2 linked regions of the Xenopus tropicalis genome follow. The protein of the gene in region 1 purifies or fractionates together with the protein of each later gene. This does not show direct contact. Links are inferred from orthologs where the notes say so. Each region holds a gene or a part of one and is shown in the gene's direction. Other genes may lie near its edges.

What was found. The genes of interacting proteins can lie anywhere in the genome.
Region 2: the proteins of ppp2r2c (region 1) and cct2 purify together in Homo sapiens (affinity purification with mass spectrometry; 4 studies listed by BioGRID and IntAct, counting the BioPlex papers as one, with this or other methods). This does not show direct contact. The link is inferred for Xenopus tropicalis from reciprocal best matches to the Homo sapiens genes PPP2R2C and CCT2.

Annotation. Positions count from the first base shown.
Region 1 is NC_030677.2:25,386,351-25,393,150, forward strand, and holds the start of ppp2r2c (protein phosphatase 2, regulatory subunit B, gamma), read left to right. Parts: upstream 1-2,909; 5' UTR 2,910-3,255; coding exon 3,256-3,325; intron 3,326-6,800. UniProt on the Homo sapiens protein: The B regulatory subunit might modulate substrate selectivity and catalytic activity, and might also direct the localization of the catalytic enzyme to a particular subcellular compartment.
Region 2 is NC_030679.2:59,115,874-59,120,906, forward strand, and holds part of cct2 (T-complex protein 1 subunit beta), read left to right. Parts: coding exon 1-99; intron 100-1,156; coding exon 1,157-1,276; intron 1,277-1,905; coding exon 1,906-2,034; intron 2,035-2,112; coding exon 2,113-2,216; intron 2,217-2,312; coding exon 2,313-2,412; intron 2,413-2,889; coding exon 2,890-3,031; intron 3,032-3,801; exon of another isoform or gene 3,802-4,770; coding exon 4,771-4,801; 3' UTR 4,802-5,033. UniProt on the Homo sapiens protein: Component of the chaperonin-containing T-complex (TRiC), a molecular chaperone complex that assists the folding of actin, tubulin and other proteins upon ATP hydrolysis.

The DNA of each region.
Region 1 (6,800 bases):
AGCAGGGCACCCTACACACACCCCCACACACACCTCCCTGCTTGCAACCCTGCCCTCCTTTGCACAACCTGCGTTTGCAAACAGCTTATACTGATCGCCGGTGCCGGGGACTGGGCGGGAGATTCAAACAACTGTCGAAATCTCCCGACCAGTCTCCAGTTTAGATTTTTTCCGCCCTGGGGCCGGGCCTTTGTGGCCTGCCCGCAAATCCAGGCCTGATCAGCAGGTAGAATTTACTGGTCACCTGTTCGAAAGCAAACATCTTATTGGTTGCTATGAGTTACTGCTACTGGGCAAACTTTGTGCCTTTTATTACATATGGGGGTAAAAGTGCACAAAGCAGGGCCATGAGTTTCAGCTGGGCAAAGGGAGGCAGAGAGAAACAACAACAAGTTTGTGGTATTCTGCTTGTGCAAGTGTAGGTAATGCTTTCTATCTATCGATTTCTGCAGTGATCATACTGGCATGTCTGGGGTTAATGGAGCCATCATTGGTCATTTCTGCAGCAATCTTACTGGCATGTCTGGGGTTAATGGAGAGCATTTTTATGGTCTATAATGGTCTATAATGTAGACCATAAAAGCTATAATGTAGATAATAAACTTTGTTGTACAAAGCAATGCCAGTCAGCAGCTGCAAGGGCAAACAAGGTTTTGAGCTGTATTAAAAGGGGTATAGATTCACGGGAGGAGGGGGTTATTCTTCCCCTTTACAGAGTGCTGGTAAGGCCCCATCTAGAATATGCTGTGCAGTTTTGGTCTCCAGTGCTCAAACGGGATATTATTGATTTAGAGACGGTCCAGACAAGGGCACCTAAGTTGGTAAAGGGCATGGAAAGGCTCAGTTATGAAGAGAGACTGGCCAAACTGGGGTTGTTTATGCTGGAGAAGAGGCGCAGCAGTTAACCATTTCCCTCCTTCTGATTTTCAAATCTTGTGCAGTATGGTGTAGTAGTAGTATTAAGCTCCACCTCTTTAAGATCCTTTTGAGGTGCCCGTTCCTCATGGCTCACCTCCCATCAGTCCTAAATACGAACGCGACACTAGAAGAGCACCAATTCTCATTTCCATTTATCAAATTAGCCATCACAGCAACATTTCAGCACCAACCCGCTCCCCCCCTTCTGACCCTTGCTAATAAGGCTTGTGTATTTATGCCATTTTGCACATTGCCATCTAGTGGAAAGATTAAAAACAAATTTTAAAGGGGACAAAAAGACCACATTCACCAGCCAGCTTTGCACTTCTAACCTTGCAATTGGGTATAGGTGGCATTTCTGCTGCCTTGTATCCCCACTAACATGTCTAAGCCCTGTACAAACCAAAAGAGCTAGTTCACACATGCCGATACACATCACTTGTACCCAACAGATGGTGCAGCTACACTTTTTTTTTAGGCTGTTCTGGAGAAGATTTAATAAAAATGTATGTTTACACAGAGCTGAAATGTCCTCCTGCTGTTGTTGTGCTACAACTCCCAGTATTTCCCACAACAAGTATAATGTGTGACACTTAGTTGTGTGTAGTGACAGTCACAGTAAAAGATCACACTCACACGACTTTAGGTACAAATTAGTTCCAGAAATCTCATTATCCTCTGTATAGTAATAAATACTGTAAATTCATAATGCTGAGTGTATATTGCAACCTAGACACTGGATACCCCCACACTTTGTGTTTTCTGCCTCCTTTTAGATTGTAAGCTCTATGGATCAAGGCTGTCTTTACCTACTGCATGGGCCACTCTTTGTATGTGAATTGTGTGTTTAAAGCATACACTCATTTATTGTACATTGCTGTTGGTACTTATTAAATGCACATTATTGATATTAATAATGGTACCCCTAAATAAAATCTACAATTCCCATAATGCTACCCTGTAGAGAAAAAAAGATCCCTGGCAATTCAACAAGAATGAGGCCCCCGAAATATTTGAGTTGGTTTCAGTTAGGGGTGCCTTGGGATAGAATTCCGATATGTATGCGACTGTTACACAATATATGCCAATTGTTCAACCCTTATCTTCACCTCTTGCAGGGCCGGAACTAGGGGTAGGCAGAAGAGGCAGCTGCCTAGGGTGCAACCATCAGGGGGTGCCAGGCAGAAGCCTCTCCTACCTACCCCTAGTCTGCTCTCTTTAGCCATTGCCCCCGCCGCTTGTCATCGAATCACGAACCTCCCCCGCGACTGCGCATGTGCGCTAAAGCACATGGGGAGTGGTGCGAGGTGGCCGACGGGGTTGCCTAGGTTGCCTAGGTTGCCCTGTTGGCTTGGCCCGCCCTGACCTCTTGTATCGGTTATTGATTGCTTTATATGTTACTCTGTATGTCCAATATATGTAACCCACTTATTGTACAGCGCCAGGGGTAGGCAGAAGAGGCAGCTGCCTAGGGAGCACCAATTGGGGGGCGCCATGAAGCCTCTCCTGCCTACCCCTAGTCCGTGCTCTTTAGTCATTGCCCCCGCCGCTTGTCCTTACGCAGAGGGGGCAATGCTCCATCAAATCGCAACACGAACCCCACCCCCCGCGTTCAACTGCGCATGTGCGTCAAAGGGGGGGTGCGAATGAGGAAGGTGCAGGGGCGAGGTGGCCGACCGGGTTGCCTAGGGCGCCCGGTAGGCATAGCCCGCCCCTGTACAGCGCTGCGGAATATGTTGGTGCTTTATAAATAAATGTTAATAATAATAATAATAATAACAACCCCCCCAGGGACCAGTGCAAATGCCCTTGGTGTCCTGCCCCATAAGCAGACCTTTGGCCAGTAACACACATCCCTGAGCCCCCTTTTCCCCGCAGTGTAATGCTCCCCGGTAGCAGTAGTAGCAGCAGTAGCAGTAGCAGTAGCAGCCCCTGATGCAGCCAGTGACTGGTGCGCTTGGCCCAGATCAATGTGCCTGGGAGGGGCGAGTTCTGATGCAGCAGCACAAGCCTATGACAGCAGCAAGCAGGCAAGTCGCACACTGCTCTCCCAGTCTCACGGCTGCTTTTTACCGCAGTGGGCGATCGCCTGGAAGCCAAGCGAGCATCCCCCAGCAGGAAGGGAGGAGGACGGTGCCCAGTGAGCGATCGGAGCAGCCCGGCGGGTCCCTATTGCTTGCGCAGCGGTGCCCCCCCCGTATCAGGATGGTGCGCTCCGGGGCTGGCTGCGCTCCCTTCCCGCGTTAGGCAGCAGCACTATGGATGGCGCTCTTGTAACGACCTCTGCTCATTTCATCAGTCCGCTGGGGACAGGCATGCTGAGTGCCGCTGCTGTCAATGGGCGAGGACGTGGACACGCGAAAAATTAACCACAGCTTTCTCCGGGATCACAACTATGTGACTGAAGGTACCAGCCCCCCAAATATCCCCCCCCCCCTCAGTGTTGTGAATATTGTGCCCCCTCTCTGTCACTTTGATTCCAATTGTGCCAGCCACACTGTGTCTTGTCATGGTATCCCCCGTGTGTGCCAGTCTATAATTCCCACTGTGTTGGGTATCATGCATTGGGGGGGCAGATGGGAGAGTCCAGCAGCATTGGCTTAGGGCAGTTAGGAACAGGTCCTGCCCTGACCCACTGAAAGGGGTTATTTACTGCAGAGTGGCCAAGTGAGGAAATCTAAATGACATAGGGGATAATTAACCAATAAACTACTCACTTCAGAAATGGTACCCAACCTCCTAATAAATCCTGTGAGACTGAATATCATGGGGATTTTCTTTGATTTGGTCAGTTTTTAGATTCAGTCAATTAATATTTAATAAATTTTGGTTTATCTATAAAACCTTAACCCTGGTATTTGTCGCCCTACAGCCAAATTACAACTCCCCCCCCCCCCTCCAGGGGTTGCTGGGAGTTAATGGTTGCTCAGCAGAGTGCCTGTCTATTGAGACAAATAAATGCAAAGCCAGGCGTTAAAGTGTCGGGTCGGTGGAAGGGGCACATTATTTGTGGTTCCCTCTGCCCTGAGCTTGATGAGCAGAGAGGATCGTATGTGAGGAGCTGACAATGGTGGAGCCGTGTAACAGCAGAGCAGTGAAAGCGCTCGGTCATGAAACCCTTTGGCTTGGTGCATCTCAGGGCAATAAATGTTTAATTAGTGATCCGAGAGCCTGCGCTCTAACGTGGATCGACAATAGTCAGGTCAGCAAAATTGCATCCCATGTAAATCGACCCACATATAAATGGCTCCAGCTGCAATTCATAAGGTTCCTAGTTCGGCCAGTCACACGGTCACGGATGGCTAGAGATACATGAATATCTATGGGCAATTAGAGGTGGCAGATATATATTTAATGCTAAATTAGATGGACTAGCGTGTGCTTGCATGTTCCCTTCAGAGACTGTTCCCCTGGTTGGCTTCATGGATCATTATTGGGTGACCAAGGGCTTAGCGCTCCTTATAAATGCACCCATCACAAGAAGGTTCTGCAGCAGCTTAGGCCTCTGCTTTATTAGATGGCCTAGTGGGTGTAGTCATCTATCTGTCTATCTATCTATCTATCTATCATCTATCTATCTATCATCATCTATCTATCATCATCTATCTGTCTGTCTATCTATCTATCTATCTATCTATCTATCTATCTATCTATCATCTATCATCTATCTATCATCTATCTATCTATCTATCTATCTATTATCTATCTATCTATCTATCTATCTATCTATCTATCTATCTATCTATCTGTCTGTCTGTCTGTCTATCTATCATCTATCTATCTATCTATCTATCTATCTATCTATCTATCTATCTATCTATCTATCTATCATCTATCTATCATCATCTATCTGTCTGTCTATCTATCTATCTATCTATCTATCTATCTATCTATCTATCTATCTATCTATCATCTATCTATCATCTATCTATTATCTATCTATCTATCTGTCTGTCTGTCTGTCTGTCTGTCTATCTATCTATCTATCTATCTATCTATCTATCATCTATCTATCTATCTATCTATCTATCTATCTATCTATCTATCTATCTCCCTATCATCTGTCTATCTGTCTATCTTTCTTGTATCTGTCCTTTTCTTCACCCATCAGAACAGACACAGCTTGAACATAGATTTATATTTTCTTTACCTTCGCATTTTAGCTGTTGTGCGTTGATAAGAGAGATGAGGGAGATGTGGAGACTTTGCCTGGATGCCCTGGAATCCATTAGATGTTCCTATGGGGTAGAGCTGAGGGTGTATTCTGTATATTCTTTTTGATGACTGGATTTGTTCTAAGTCTATTCTGATTCTTCCTCTGTGGGTCCTAATACAGTATAAAAGGAATAATTATCCCCACTTGTAAATACATGGTTATTAGACATAGTTGTGTGATCATGTAGGTATCAGGCCATGGTATACAGATGATGGAACTCCAGTGTGACTTGTAATATACGGTATCTCTACTTCTTTTTTTAACTTTTCTTTCCCCATTATTTCTCCCTCTCTTCTCCCACTCTCTCCTGTTCTCCCCTCTCTATACCTGTATTCACCTTTTTCCTTTACTTGTGTCCTCCCCTCTCTTCTCTTTTCCTTTTATCCCTTCCTTTCTGCTCGCTTTCTCTTCTTTTAACCGTTCTACTTTTCCTTCTCCCCTAATCTGCCCCTCATCCTTTTTATTCTGACACTCCTCTTATCCCGCACTACCCCTTCTCTCCCTATATCCTATTTTATTCTTTCTTTCAGTGGCGTAACTAGTGTGCCCTGGGTCCCCCTGCAAAAAAATCTTCAGAGGGGCCTGGTGCACAACAATCCATACCCGGCCCCCAACCTGCCCACTTCCCGCCCCCTGCCGATGTCTTCTGCCCACCCCCTACCGGCGTCTTCTGCCTGAAGACTGTACAACTAGAGGAAGCAGACCACCCCATCCCCCGTTCCTCCCTTTTTTTCTCTGTATCCTTTTCCTTTTCCCTTTGCGTTTACAGTATCCCTTCTACCCTTCTTTTTCTATGTGTGCCATTCTCTCTCTTTCTTTCCTATTTAAAGTCCTCTTTTCCCTATAGTTTTTCTTTCTTACTATTTTCCTGCTTTCTCTCTCTCAACCCTGGTTGCCTGTTGGCACTTTATGGCTTCTTGCTGCTTACATGTAAAAAGCCCTGTTCATACCTTTAACATTTGGCTACCCCCATTAATTATAACTTTCCTTCTTCTTTATGTTACTGATGCAAGGAAGAGTCTCCTGAAGCTTTTCTGCTCAGTTCTGTCACTCCTCTCATTCAGTGCTAGTAATGTAGCGAAACACAATAAATGGGAGGGGCTAAGCAAGGGCTGCACCATCAGCTGTTCAGGGCTGATATCTGTGGGGCACAGTATAACAGTCATATGCCTTTATATAGGGCAGAGCATCCTACAGCAGTATATAGACAGTGTTCCTGATTAATGTCAAACCCTATATAAATATATGAATTGTATAGAGGGACAGTTTACAAAGGACGATAAGATAACGTAGCCCTAATTGGAAAATGCATATTTCACAGTAACCACCAGGCCTTTTTGTCACCATTTACCACCAGGTGTAATGTTCAGCATTCCATACTAACTACAGTCTTCCTGTTTGTGCCTGATTGAGAGCTTTAGGCCTCTTTAACTGGGTCTGATATATACCTGATATGTTTTTTTTTGGCTCGTCAGTTTTATTTCCCCGATTATACCAATCCCGCAGTAGAATTTCCAGCCCTATGTGTGTGCATGAGTAACTTTGCCTTTAGCATATTGTTGTGAGTCACATTTTTTTTCTTCTCTGTCTGTCACTTTCTATTACTTTGCCACTTGTTTGGTAACTGTACCCGCGTCACTATCACTATCATCCTCATTGTGGCTTC
Region 2 (5,033 bases), on another chromosome or scaffold:
TGATCTATAACTACCCAGAGCAGTTGTTCGCAACTGCAGGCGTTATGGCAATTGAGCATGCAGACTTCGCTGGTGTCGAACGTTTAGCCCTTGTTACAGGTACTGAAGTTTTATCAATTATGTGCAGTTTATTAGTTGTACTGTTTGATGTTTTGGTATGTTACAACCTCATGTCTTCAATATTTCAGTGTGGTCTGTTTACTTAGAAAAGTGCTAATGTTAGATTTTTACAGATGCTGGCATTAATGTAATGAGTTAAAAGTAGCACCTTAGCTGAATGTTGGTTTTCTTATCAAATTAGAGGGAGACAGCCTGTTATATTCAGATAAGTTTAGCATTAGTTCTGCTTAATTTATCCCAGAAATACATCTTTAAAGTAGTTGATTTTAAACTTTGAAACAGCCCCTCTAGGGGCTTCTGGACCAGCAGCTGGTGGTAAGTTTTGAAAACAATACCTGCTTGGTCTCCTAGATCCTACTGGGTGAACAGTATATTTTTGGAGCTATGTCTAATACAGCAGTGTTTTCCTAGGTATCTGTAACTAAATGTTAGACCTCAAAGTGTGCTTTAAACAAAAGGTCTGAGAAAATTGTAAAGATTAGAGTTGCTCCCTAGTAGTCTGAGTCTTTAAGCCAGCGCTGCCATCAGGGGGGTACTCTGGTCAGTGGCAGCAGAGGTTTTGCAATAATGGGGCATGGTAAAGGCTCTGTTGTACTTGTTAACAGCGCCCATTGCCCAAGTGACCAGTGGCCTTATAATTTCTGTTCCCTGTACAGAAAAGCCTTGCTAACTTAACAGTATAATAGCCATAATAGCACTGAAGCTACAAACAACCATAATTATGTGTATATTGTGAATAAAATGCCAAGTGACATCTAGATTTTGACCACAAGGGGTCAGTGTTCGGCTAGACCATTTCTAATCTGTTTATGATATGGCAGAGATTATCATATATGGAAACAGTAGCCATTTGGTATCCTCTCATATAGGCAGTGGAAACCAACTCCCTTCCCCATCTCCCCATCATATTATTCAGAGAATAATACATATTTTAGGTAGCTTATATTTTAATCTTTTTGTTGCTTATTGGTTATAATAAAACTAGCATTCCTTTTTCTGAAAAACAAAACTGCATATATATTTATTGTCCCTTAAGGTGGTGAGATTGCTTCAACCTTTGATCATCCTGAGCTGGTTAAACTGGGTACCTGTAAGCTTATCGAGGAAGTAATGATTGGAGAGGATAAGCTCATTCATTTCTCTGGTGTTGCCATGGGTAAGCATCAAAGTGTGTTGTGCTTGCCATAACGATTAGTGGCAACAAAAAATATTTTTTTTTCACCGTTTGTTTTATCTCTCTTTGCAATTCTAAAATGTAGCCTTGCCTGCTTCTTTTATATGGAGGTTTGTAAGATTTATATTATGAGCACTTAAAAAAAGGAAATGTGCTTAGCAACATATATTTAAAAAAATTACATTATCTTAATCCTGTGCAACAGTTGTGATTCCAGCTCTTTCCCAAGCTGGAGAATCCTTAACCTTCAGGGCTCTGGCACACGGGGGAGATTAGTCGCCCGCGATTAACTCCCTGTTCGCGGGCGACTAATCTCCCCCGTGTGCCAGAGCCCTCATACATCCATGGTCTCCTTGTCAAACATAGCCAGCAAGTTAGAATGGCAACATATCGTTTTATCTTTCTCAGGTAACATTGTTAAATTATTGTGAAAGTGCAGGTTAGTCAGTTATCTGATCTGAGTTATCTCTTCCTGCAGCTGTGGTCACTTTTGTGCAAAGTGCTGGATTTCCTTATACGATATAATAAGTTAAAATCCACACACACATTGAGTTTTAGTTGGTGCTGGATCATTATTGCACATAATGTATTTTGTCTTTTGATGATGACAGGTGAGGCCTGCACTATTGTTCTTCGTGGTGCAACTCAGCAAATTTTGGATGAAGCCGAGAGATCCTTACATGATGCCCTCTGCGTACTTGCTCAGACTGTAAAAGATACAAGGACAGTTTATGGAGGAGGTATGTGCAAAAATGACTGACGTTAGCCTTGTTTATGATTGAGTGACTTCACTTTTGACGTTATTCTTGCTTTTGTAGGCTGCTCAGAAATGCTAATGGCTCATGCTGTGACAGAACTTGCAATCAGAACACCAGGTAAAGAGTCTGTCGCCATGGAATCTTTTGCAAAGGCACTACGCATGGTAAGTATAACGTATAATCTACATACCTATTATAATTCAGTTATTTTCTGATGCTAAGCTAGGCATTATGTAACCTGTATATTTTTCTTTCTTTAGCTACCAACCATTATTGCAGATAATGCAGGCTATGATAGTGCTGATCTAGTGTCTCAGCTCAGAGCAGCTCACAGTGAAGGGAAATCAACCTATGGCCTGGGTAAGAAACAAACCTTAGTAAAGAAGCCTGCTCTATGGCAAACCAAGAACCTAAAGGTGAAGGAAAGTAACAAACACCTGGTTGTTGTTGGGGGATTCTCCTTTTACACCAGGTTTGGTGCTCCTGTTTTAAAAACCCAAACTGGCCTGGTGTCGTTTCCTGCAGAACCAGTTAATTGCCCGTCCTGGTGGTTACTAACATTCTTCTTTAAGATTTGTAATGTGTTGAACTTGTTTTTTATTGTGTTTATTGCAGCATGGCACTCTATAGCAAAGTACCCTGTGCCAGAATGTGAGCAACTTTAGTCACTGAGGGGGTGCATAATAATTTGCCACTCATCTTCACTGTTTCTTACATTTCTTCCTAATGGTTATCATTCTTTCTATGCATTGTTACAAGTAAAAACATTTTACTGTATGTTTTCTCTTTTTTAAACCCTGAAAATTAAACCATGGCTTAATTTTTTTTGTTTTCCAGATATGAAAAATGGTACCATAGGTGAAATGGGAGAGCTGGGTATAACTGAAAGTTTCCAAGTAAAGAGACAAGTCTTGCTGAGTGCTTCTGAAGCCGCTGAAGTTATTTTGCGTGTTGATAACATCATCAAAGCTGCACCAAGGTAGCCTGGTTACTGCTATTTTATTACAAAAAACATGGAAAAGTATATTAATGATTTACAGTTTGTTTAACCTACTAAGATCTAATGAGGAGGTTTAGGGTTGATAATGCTGCTGTACTGCATTAAGAGTAAGTGGTTTCAGGACAGGGAATTCTGAGGAATGTAATCAGTCCTTCATTTGCATGTAATAAAAATACAGAATTGTGTGAGGACTTTTCAACAAAGGTACTGTCCATGAGTATAGGTTCTTAAAAGAATAGCTCTGTAAAAAATAAAACTGGGTAAAACAGGTAGATTGTGCAAAAGAAAAAATATTTTCAATATAGTAAGTTAGGCAAAAATGTAATATATGGTATGGTAGGGCAGATGTATAACATAATAGCCAGAACATTACTTCCTGCTTTCAGCTCTTTAAGCTGTTAGCAGTCAGTAACCAATCAGTGACTTGAGGGGGGAATATTGGATATAACTGTTCAGTCAAAAACTAACTGAATAGTTATGTCCCATATGCCCCTCACTGACTGACTAAGAGGTTAGAGAGCTGAATGCAGGAAGTAGTGTTCTGGCCATTATGTTAGACATCTGCCCACTCCAGCCTTTATAGATTATATTTTTGTCTAACTATATTACAAATATTTTTATTTTTCGCAGTCTATTTTACCCAGTTTCATTTTTACACTGAACTGTTCCTTTAAATTGTTATTCAGCGAATTGGAAAAAGGTGAAAACCCATGAATAAACCTACAAACACAAGGCACACATCACACCAATTATATATTTAAGGAGTACAAATCTTTATTAATTAAAATACAAAAAACTCTGCCTTAAAAATTCAAAGCTGTTGTACCACCTGCTTATATATTCTTCACTGGTAACGTGTTAACATTCATATTCATAAAGTTATAATAAACGGTTTTACCTGGGTACTTTAAAGTGCAAGTTAATAGTGCAGCATGGAAATAGTGCTTAACAAAATAAAATGTATGTCAGAAACAAACAATTTGACCAAAAGCAGGCTCATTCATTTTTATCAAGTAAATCATGCTGGACTATATACCATTCACTCCATAAGCAAAACATACTACACATACTATTCATAGGGTAACTTAGTGTCCAAACCTACTTGTATGTGAGCAATAATATAGATGGTGTGTTCCTTCTGAAACCTTTTAAGAAGCCTGTGGGCCCCTTCTCATAATATGCATTAGAAAGTGCACTGTTTATAGCACCAAAGTAATACCTGATCAGTAAAATAGGAGAAAATGATAAGCTTGTATATATATATAACTGATTGGACAACTATTGAAGCCTCATTTATATCCTATATCAAACATAAATAATCAGCCACTCCTGATACAAACGCGCTTTTGCAGTTCTTAGTTGATTTTTTATCTTAGCATTACACTTCCCTTGCTAGCCTTGCTAGATATGAGACCTAATGTTGCCCCCAAGGAAGAATCCTTAGCAATTATATATAATATAATCTAATAAGAAAAATGAGCAGCACTCAAATCTTGCAAATATAAATATATTAAAAATCAACACCACCATAGAGACATTTCGTGCAAGCTGCGTGCCCTTTATCAGGAAAAATGTTATAATCTACTAGAATGAGTAGCGAATGGAAGGGAAGGAATGTAGGCATTTGGTATTGATGTATGTGCTTCAAGTTTTGTTCTTTTTCTGCTTCTGGGCATTATTATTTATGCATGTAAGTTTCTTCTTTTTGTCTGTTATAGAAAACGTGTACCAGACCATCATCCTTGCTGAGTACCCTTTAACTGCACCAAGTTTGTGGACCAGGCGAAAGTTTCCCTATTTTAGGACCAGAAGAAATTTCTGGAGCAAAATGCTGTTACACAGTTAAAAATGCTGTGTGTGTTTAGTCAGCCAAGCACTTGCATAATTCTCCAGCAACGTATCTGGGTTTAAGTTATTATTTTCCAGCGCATACATTGGATGTATGGTTTTGCAGAATCAGTTTGTAAACAGCTATTCATGT